Linked DNA regions of Drosophila melanogaster. The protein of the gene in region 2 purifies or fractionates together with the protein of the main gene of each other region. This does not show direct contact. Each region holds a gene or a part of one and is shown on either strand. Other genes may lie near its edges.

Evidence for each region.
Region 1: the proteins of betaNACtes1 (region 2) and S-Lap3 purify together in Drosophila melanogaster (affinity purification with mass spectrometry, with the first as the bait; one large-scale study listed by BioGRID). This does not show direct contact.

What each region holds. Positions count from the first base shown.
Region 1 is NT_037436.4:10,463,277-10,469,294, forward strand, and holds S-Lap3 (Sperm-Leucylaminopeptidase 3), read left to right. Parts: upstream 1-1,910; 5' UTR 1,911-2,134; intron 2,135-2,908; 5' UTR 2,909-3,235; coding exon 3,236-4,843; 3' UTR 4,844-5,204; downstream 5,205-6,018. Other genes in the region: CG32061 (uncharacterized protein), read left to right, coding at 625-1,269.
Region 2 is NC_004354.4:14,170,723-14,174,511, forward strand, and holds betaNACtes1 (Nascent-associated complex beta-subunit-like, testis 1), read right to left. Parts: upstream 1,903-3,789; 5' UTR 1,820-1,902; intron 1,766-1,819; 5' UTR 1,749-1,765; coding exon 963-1,748; 3' UTR 765-962; downstream 1-764. Other genes in the region: CG12480 (uncharacterized protein), read left to right, coding at 1-726.

The DNA.
Region 1 (6,018 bases), on a different chromosome or scaffold from region 2:
TTGTTAGAATTAAATATTATTTTCTGTATTTAAATCTTATGTCGAAATATTAGCGAAGGCTCACACCAAGGTTGCTATCTGTGCTAACTATTTACCAAGCACTCCAACCAATTGAACTAAAAATAAAAAATTAATTCCTTTTGAAATCTTAACAATATATTGTTTTACAATAAAAAAATATGTACATCGTACCGTTGATTGTTTTAATATGAAATTTATATTTCCAATAGGTTGGAATAAGGCAAGATTGTCAAGCACTTAAATGCAGGGGTTTTAGCACAGCTAATAGTTGCTCTCAAACTGTACCAGCTGGCGGGAATTTCAAATAATTTATGTCGCTAAAATAAGTTGATGCAGTTAAGTAGTTTCAGCACGCTGCCTTTCAATTTAATAAATTAATTTATAACAAACAACGATAAAATCTTTTATTATTTACCTAATTGTTTAATTACGTAATTTTAATTACGTATAATTTAAAATAAAAATCAAAAAATGTTTATAATATAACGTTTTTTAAGCAATCAGACTGGGAATGTCAGAGCACATTGAGGTCACACAAAATTAGATACAAAATTTAAAAAACGACTTAAAATTTTTTCATTTTGAACTCCAAATTCGAGAACCATGTTCATACCCAAAATACGAGACATTGGTTACTTTGCGCTGCTGACATCCCTGCACTTGGGCTCAAATCTTCAGCCGGTCATCGAGGCGAATGCCAATCTAAAAACGGTCTATCCCTCCGTGAATCGTAATCTAACGCTTCAATTGGGCTATAAATACAATCACTGGATGCTGGTTAAGGCCATAATGTATTCACTACTATCTATGATCGGAGTTTGGTACTCACGACACTTGCAAAGTGGCAAAAGTGAGGTATCGATGGAAAAGAAAGGAATCCTTAAAACTACGACAACAGCTGCAGAGCAAGTGAAAAACAATTGGATCAAAAAACAGAATTCCGCATTGAAAAACGGAACCCTGCCGCGGAATATATTCCTGTTATTTGCTTTGCCCTGGATATTGACCTTTGTGGCCAGCGGATTGATCAACTATATTCGATTTTACATGGTCATACAGCATTTTTGCATATCTAACTGGAGGGCGATTCAGCTTTATGGAGAACTGCAAGGCCTCTTTTGGCATCGTTCTACATCCGTGACTTTAATACCCTATTGGTCGCAAATTATCGGCGGAGGAGTATCCTTGGAGAAGGCATCTCATCTTTCTGGAAATTGTATTTCCATTGAAACACATCTTTTGGACTGAACATGGCAATCTATATTTAAAATTTTTATTTTATGTTTGATGCAAAAATTATAATAATGGAAAATAAATCGATTTTGTTGACTTAGCTCTAAAGTTTTAAAGTGATTTTGATTTGATCAGTAAACTTAAATTATTGTAGCATTAATTGAGCATTGGAATTCGTTATTGGTTTATTGTTAGTTTTAATTTCTCAACAACATTTGTATTGTTGATTTCTTCTGGTGTTTTGCCTGCGACAATAAGCGACATTTTCAATCAACAAAAGAGAAAACTTTTCTATGAACTTTATGCACCGCTTGGCATTTTATTGTTGGAAAAAACTTTTCCACCACGTGGGAAATATGCGGCAATCACTTTTTCTTGCTCACTTTTATTCAGTGGAGAAAACTCACGGTGAATAAATGTGAAAGGAGTACATAAATACACAAGTGCTATTTTTTGCTTTAAAAAATGTTTGTATCCTTATATGATTATTTCAAGAGCTTTTCATTGAATGGGGAATTATAGTCAGAAAACTCTTAATAGCAGTACTCCTGCATTATTGACCTTTTAAATATCTATTTGTGTATTATAGAAATCTCAACATCACCGACATGACACTCAACCGATCGAAGTTCACTTAAAAACGAGAATTCTCCGAGCACATTTCAAAATTATACCCAAATAAACATTTTATGTAAATTGCTTTAGTGCCGAAAGTTATTCGCGCTTTGGACACTGAATCATATCGACAGGATCTGTGTCGGTCAGCAAACGAGGAAAAACGACACTTGCAAGGATCGTTTCTTGAGTTCTCCATTGGCAAACAACACAATTCGGGTCAACTCTCGATTCCCCCATTTCGGTCCACTGTTTCGACTTGCTGGTAAGTAATATAACTAACAACTAGACTGAGAGGAAATAATATATCGTTTCGGGGTACCAGTTAGAATATTTCATAGGTTCTCTATCAACTCTTTAAAAGGATCTTAGAATTTTGAATCTAGTTTTTCTTGGTAACTTACCAGATTTGCAGTAGTGGTTTCGTCTTTGAAGAAATATAACACTGCAAATAGCATAAAAAAAAACTAATATTATTTTCTTTCTACTTTTAAATTAAATGCAATGTCTTAGGGACTTAAATCAAAGAATATGTATACTACCCGTAAGATTGAAGGGGTATACTAGATTAGCAGAAAAGTATAAGAGAGGTAAAAGCATTTCCGACCTTATAAATATACAAGTTTTTGATCTAGCCAAATTAATAATAAGCTTAGTTCTTTGTTCTTAGTTTCCAAAAAAACATGAAGCTTATATACCCTTGCAGTAATAGTATATAATTTATATATATAAGAAAATGCATTAAAAATAATAACTCTTCCTTGTTGAAACAAGAAAGTCTTTAGAATAAAGCATATGTACAAAACCAATGGAGCCAAATTTCGCTTATAAATTTCCTATACATAATTTAATCTACTAGTAAAATATCTGCAAGTTTCAAATGTTCTTCTGATCGCAACTGTAAGTAAAGCTTTAGATTCTGGACCTATACATATACATAGATACAAAGTTTGTACATAGTTTATACGTACATATATGTTTTTCCTTATTTGACACATCATTTGAATTTAATCTGATCTAGTATTCCGTTTCATTACAGTTATCAAAAAATTTGTTCGGTTTGGTTTAGTCTTACCGATTTTAGCAACGAAAGCAGACAACACATTTCGTTCGTTCCTTTTTTAAATATACATTTTACGTTCGCACATGAAACATTTTTGAAACATTTTCTCTTTTTTTTTTTTTTTTTGGACACCTGACAAAACTTTTGAACGTGGCTGGTCAAAATTATTAGAGACAGTTCGAGAGACCAACATACATACACTTCGAGAGTTGCCGTAAATTGTAAAAACACACAACAGTCGTCAAAATTGTGCAGATAATAGCTCGCGTATATAGTGCGGTAAACATAATAATACTATATACTATGCGTGGACAACTGTTGCTGAAGGGACCCGCATTGGCGAGGAGCTTGAGCCGGTGCCGCGTAAGTGCCGTGCCCCAAATTGGATCTGTTCGTCATGTGACCGCCGGCTGTGCAGCTGGTGATACCGTCAAGGGCGGCAAAGGAATCGTCTTGGGCCTCTACGAAAAGGAGTCGGGCAAGGGACCTCGATTAACGCCTGCTGGCGAAAAGTTTGACGATCGTGTGCAGGGCAAGCTATCGGAATTGGTTTGCGAAACCAAATTAACTGGACGATTGGGTCGCGGCAAGGTCTTCAACAATGTGGACAGCGAGTTCAGATCCATTTGCGTGGTGGGCGTTGGTCTCGAAGGCATAGCCTTTAATGAACTGGAAATGCTGGACGAGGGTATGGAGAATGTGCGCATAGCTGCTGGAATCGGTGCCCGATCATTACAAAGTATTGGCTGCTCGGAAGTGCATGTGGATAATATGGACTATGCCGAACAGGCAGCCGAAGGTGCTGCACTGGCCATTTGGCGATATGAGGAGAATCTGGCGAAGAAGTATCGTAGCACTATACCGAAACTGGAGCTGCATGGTTCACCGGATGTCGAGTCCTGGACAAGGGGCCTCTTCAAGGCAGAGGCACAGAATTTGGCCAGAAGACTGTGTGATGCCCCAGCCAATTGTATGACACCGACAATTGTGGCACAGGCTGCAGTGGATTCACTATGCCCATGCGGCATCACCGTAGAGGTTCGCACCATGGAATGGATTGAACAGCAACATCTGAACTCCTTCCTGATGATTGCCAAAGGCAGTTGCGAACCACCCGTTCTCCTTGAGGTGGCCTATTGCGGCACCGCACCGGAAGATAAGCCCATTCTGCTGGTGGGTCAAGGCATAACCTTCAATTCAGGTGGCATCAATCTGCGTCCTTGCAAGGGCATGGATGAATTCCGCGGAGATCTCACTGGAGCGGCATGCATTTTGGCCGCCATGCGCGCAGCAGCTGCTCTATCTTTGCCCATCAATATAACTGCTGTGATACCACTGTGCGAGAATCTGCCGTCTGGAATGTCCTGCAAGCCTGGCGATGTGGTGACCTTACTCAATTCCAAATCTCTGGCGGTGCGTAATATAAGTCGAACAGGAGTGGTGGTCATCTCGGATCCCATGCTTTATGGTCAGATAACATACAAGCCCAGACTCGTCGTGGATGTGGGCTCCATGTGCAAGGGCGTAAAGAAGGCAGTTGGCGGTGGAGCCACTGGTATTTGGTCGAATTCTCACTATATATGGAAACAATTCCAGCGTGCCGGTTCCTTGACCGGTGATCGCTTGTGGCGATTCCCCTTATGGCGCTACTACAAGGATCGTGTGGCAGAGCACCTGAGCTTCGACCTACTGAACGATGGCGAGGGATATGCCTCGTCTTGCCTGGCAGCTGCTGTTCTCCACGAACTCGTGCCCTGCAGCGATTGGGCCCATTTGGATACCTATGGTACTGGACTATTGAGCACATATGGATTGATACCCTACTTGACAGCTGGCAGGATGACTGGCAGACCGACCAGGACATTGGTGCAGTTCCTCTACCAAATCGCCTGCCCCGAACAGCCTAAATAATTGATGTTCTGCGGATGACTTCGATTACGTTTTGATTGGTTCTTTGACTGGCGACTCTTAAAGGCTCTCGAAAAATGGATGTTCGGCTCCAACTGTGTATATTTATGATGTGGGTTGACGATGTTCACCCAACGTTTTAATCTGTTGACCAAAGTCCCAGGACAAGGGACCAGAGCTCGTTCAATGTTTGTATTTTATGTTTATGACTCGGCCGCATCCCGGGGCTGAGTTGGCTGGCAGAGATTGTCTAGCGTCCAAAAAAAATTCAAATTCACACAGGAAAATCATTGTATCAATCAATTATAAACGTTCGGCAGACAATCAAATGTAATAAATTGTAGGGTCATCTTAAAGGAACGATAACGATAACGAGTTTTAAAAATTAATCCAAAGTAGAGGTGATGATTTAAATCTTTTAAGCCCAAATAAGCACTTTAATCTAGCTTTGTGTCTTTAACGATGAACTATTAGCCACAGCTTTGACCAATTTTATGCATTTTTGGGTGGAAAGTATACCCACTAAACTGCCGTCGAAGGTCCTCAGACGGGCCATCGTCAATGTCAGGCGAACACAAATAGCTGAATTCCACCCAATTTGCAGACCACGTCTACTTTTGGCATATCAATGAGGCGACCGAGAAAAGGATGAGGATGATTGGAAAGTCTGGACTGACTGGAGTGACAGGATATCGAAGAGTTTATGGCAAACTTTTCCGCACGTTATTGATGTCCGGCTCAGCTTGGCTTAAATTTCAAACTTTCCCGGCACACAAGACGTCGTGCTTTTTTGGCTCGGAACAATTGAAAGGCTCCATCGTTGTAATTTATTTGTAGACTAATTCAATTGGTCGATGTAAAATTCTTTAGAAAAATACTCGATAATATTGCAAAAGAAAAAAGCGGGAAAACTAGACTCGCATGCATTTTAAAACCATTTCTCAGGAAGTTGCTGCAGCCGACATTAGCAGTCATTTATCTCCATCAGTAGTTTTAATTGAGGTCTCGATTTCGATTTTTTCGTTGAAAGTACTAATTGAGTTGGTTCATATTAAGTGTGTGAGTGCATGAGGCAGCTAATCTATCAATGTCAATATTATGTATGCCCCATGTTTGGCTTAAAAAAATATTTTGCAAATATTTTCCATGGACCTGGGAAAATATGTGGCCATGCACTG
Region 2 (3,789 bases):
GGAGGAGATTCCAGCTCTTATCAGCCCGCTGAATACACTCCCGAGCACTTGAAGGCCGCTGAGGTGGTTCCTGGTGGTGATTCCAGCTCCTACCAACCCGCTGAATACACTCCAGCTCATCTTAAGGCTTCTGTTCCGGCGGCTATTGGTGCTGATACCTATGCCCCAGTTCCGGCTGCTATTGGTGCTGATACCTACACCCCTGAAAAGTTCATTCCCCAGGACGTTCAAGAGGCCCACTACAAGTACATTCAGGAGCAAGAGCAAGAGCAGGGAGCGGCTGTTCCCGGAGGAGATTCGAGCTCTTACCAGCCCGCTGAATACACTCCAGCTCAACTCAAAAAGTCGGTTGTAGCCTCAACCGCTGCCTCTGCTATTTCTGGGGCAGATTCCAGTTCCTATCAATCCGCCGTTTCCCAGACGAGCTACGTTAATAGCCAGGCCAAGACAATCGTGGCCGGATCGTCTAGCAGTTCCTACCAGAGCGCCCAACCCATCGCCGCCTATGTCCAGGGACAAACCCCAGTCGTCATTGGAGCGAACACGATCACACCTGCCCATCTGTACGAGGAACCCACATCGAATGGCATCGAGGAGTTCAATCCCGATACCCATGTGCCCGTGGCCATTGGTGCCGACACCATTACTCCTGCCCATTTGCAGGCCAGCTACTCCAAATCCGTCCAGGAGACCCAGTACGCGTCGAACGGCGGCTATATTTACTAAGACAAATAACTGAGAGCCACAGAGTCTAATATAATCTTAAATTTATAACTTTTTTTTATTTTGGAACTATAGATCATTAAAATTTCCATAAGTGTAGAGAAAACCAATGCTTTCAATAAACACCAAGAGATTAAAGTACAAATCTATAGAATATGGAACCTTTTTCTGTCTCAACTTTCTCAATTCATACGATTTATTTTTGAAATTGGTACAAATGTAGCAACAAATGAATATGCCTAATCTTCGTCCTCTGAGACCTGAACGCGATAAGTATTTGGATAGAGCTGCTCCGTCAAATAATAGTAATTGGAGTAGGAGGACAGGTAGATCGACTCCGTAGTGTCAACGTCCTCCTTGCCGTCGGAATCATCGCCGAAGCTTCCCAGCGAATCTTTGTCGCAGACTATGGTCCGATCCACATCAGACTCATCCGATGGCACCTTCTCATTATCCGGATCGCTGCCATCTTCAGAGGAGATCAAAATTGGTTTACCATTGCTAAGCTTCGGCTCCGAATCCCAGCCAGCCATGGCTGCGTCCTCTTTGTTTTTGGAGAGCATCATTTGGACCTTCTTGTTGCGAGGACGAACACGATTGCGCGGCTTCTTGGGCTTCTTGGCCACCTTAATGGACTCCTCTGATTCTGGCTTTTTGTCGGAAAAAGCTTCCGGCTTGGGTGGCTTAGGTGGCATGGGTGCCTTGGGCGCATTGGCTGCCTTGGCCACTTTCGATGGGCCAGCTGTTGACGACTTGCGCACGAAATCGCCACTAACCACGAAGAAAGAATTGCCAGCGGTGCTCTGAACCCTGGGCATGGTTAACACAACCTTACTGGAATTGGTGAACTCGATGGTCACCTCCTCGATTTCGTCGATATTCTTCAACGGCAACATGGCCAATGTGGCTTGCACGCGCTTCTCGGCCGCAGCCGAGGATGGGAATCTCTTATGCTTGCGGCGCATAGATCCTTTGCCGCCGATGCGCACCACCTCCTCCATTTTCTTCAGCTTCTTGAAATCCATTGTTTCGTTAGGAAAACCTATTAACTTGTATGGGTAAAGTGCGTGGAAAAGAATTCTCTTGAAATGCTCACCTTGAAAATGCTGTGCTTTACAAATTAATATATTAATTAATATAATATTAAGTAATATTCGCTTGGAGATGTGAATCAACTGAGGTCCTCACGCCAAATCAGAAATGTGACTTTTAGACTGCAAAGTCATCGTCTTTTTTTTTTGAGTTTTTGACACGTGCTAAAAGGGTTGCCAGAGCTTTGTCATGTCCTTGCAGATGGGAACTCTAGACTCGAATATATAAATATCTAGAGTAGATATTGTCGACATCGATTCTTAGGTGCAGATGACCGCACGTCGTGCCTCAAGTAATCAATTTTGCATTAAACATAAACATATAAATATTAACTTTTAACTATGCATGTTTTTTTATCATTTTTATGAAATATAGTTTTTATTGTGTATATTTTCTTTTTTCGGAAAATGTATGTTTTAAGTTAAAAAATTAATACTAACAATTCCAGATCGAAACTTTATTTTATTTATAAGTTGAAATATGAATGTACTTAATATATAAATATTAATTACTATTTTCCAACATTAATTACCTCTTGTTGAAAAGGATAACTGTTTGCAGTTCTCAGAATGGCCATGGTTAAGTTAAGTTATCACCAATGAACTCTGAAATTTCCATCACATTTTGCTTGGCATCGTCATGCTTGACATTTCCTGCCTTTTTTACACTTGAAGATAATTCATCAACGTGATCATAAATGAAATCGATATAAAAATGGATTTTAATTATTGACACAGGCGAATCACAGGCGAATCATATGTGAACGGGCTATAAATCGTCAATAGGTTACCCACCTTGCGAATATGATACATAGATAATCTTAAAAAATTACTCTTTATGTTTCTATGCTACAATGTTGCAAGAGAATCAATACGTTTGATGGATTTGAATATTAATTCAAAAATTGCAAAGGTCTTGCTAAAAATTTATTGAATTGTAAATTTCTGGCTGTGCTGCATTTCAAGTTCACGGACAGTGGAAAGACGCTCGAGATGTGGCAGCAAGTAAAAGTTGTTACTTATTATGTAAAGACCGCTGGGGAACTCGTAACTCTGGCGGCCGGCGTCTGTTCTCAAGGCCATCTTCTGTCGGTCTCCACTGATGGGTTTTGTGTGTTTATGGGTTTTTAGAAAGTGCGAGTGGGGCTCCGTTTTTCGAAACACGACGTTCTGTGGGGGCCATCAATCTGGGCGAGTGTCTCGAACGAGGCCAAATGGATCTCTTTTTGTGCGCCGGCCCATTTCTGCGGTTGAAACAAGAAAAATGGTTGCTCCGGTGTATAATGTGTTAAATTGAATGTTAATTAGTGGAACCCCCTTAGTTTTTTTCCCCCTTTTTTTTGGGCTTTGTGCGGCACAAACCCCCCCCCCCCCCCTCCCTCCCTCCATTCCCCTTGAGTCCGACGCTAATAAGCCAGATTGAAGAGACCACAAAAAGGTGTCCCAAAGTAGTTCACCCGCCGCAAACCCGTTGCGTGGATGGAAAAAAATATAATATCGTAAATGAGCCAAACCCGTTTGCATGTGCGATTTCGTTCGATTTTTATGTTGAATTTAATTTTAATGTGATTTTCCGTTTGGTAGTTTAGCCAGCCCCCTCCCTATATATGCTTTTTAACCTCCGCCCTGATTAGTGTTGCCATTTTAGCCATTTTATTGCCAAAACCATCTAACTAAGTAAGCTCTGCCAATGATCTATGCTAGTTAACGTTTCAAGTTACCATTTTTTTTTCAAAACTCAGTTTTTAAGAAGTAAGTAAATATTTAACAAGTCGGCAGTTTTAAGTTGTAAATAGGTGATTAGCTCAAATGTTAGTATCTAAATCTTTTATATTATTACTTATTTTGCATTGTGCTACCACTACTACTTAATTGAACATTGCAAACGGTCTGGTGTACATAAACAATTATAAGTGAAGCATATTCTTAATTGAAAATACTTAAACTTTTTAACAGTTTTCACAATTAGCTGCCA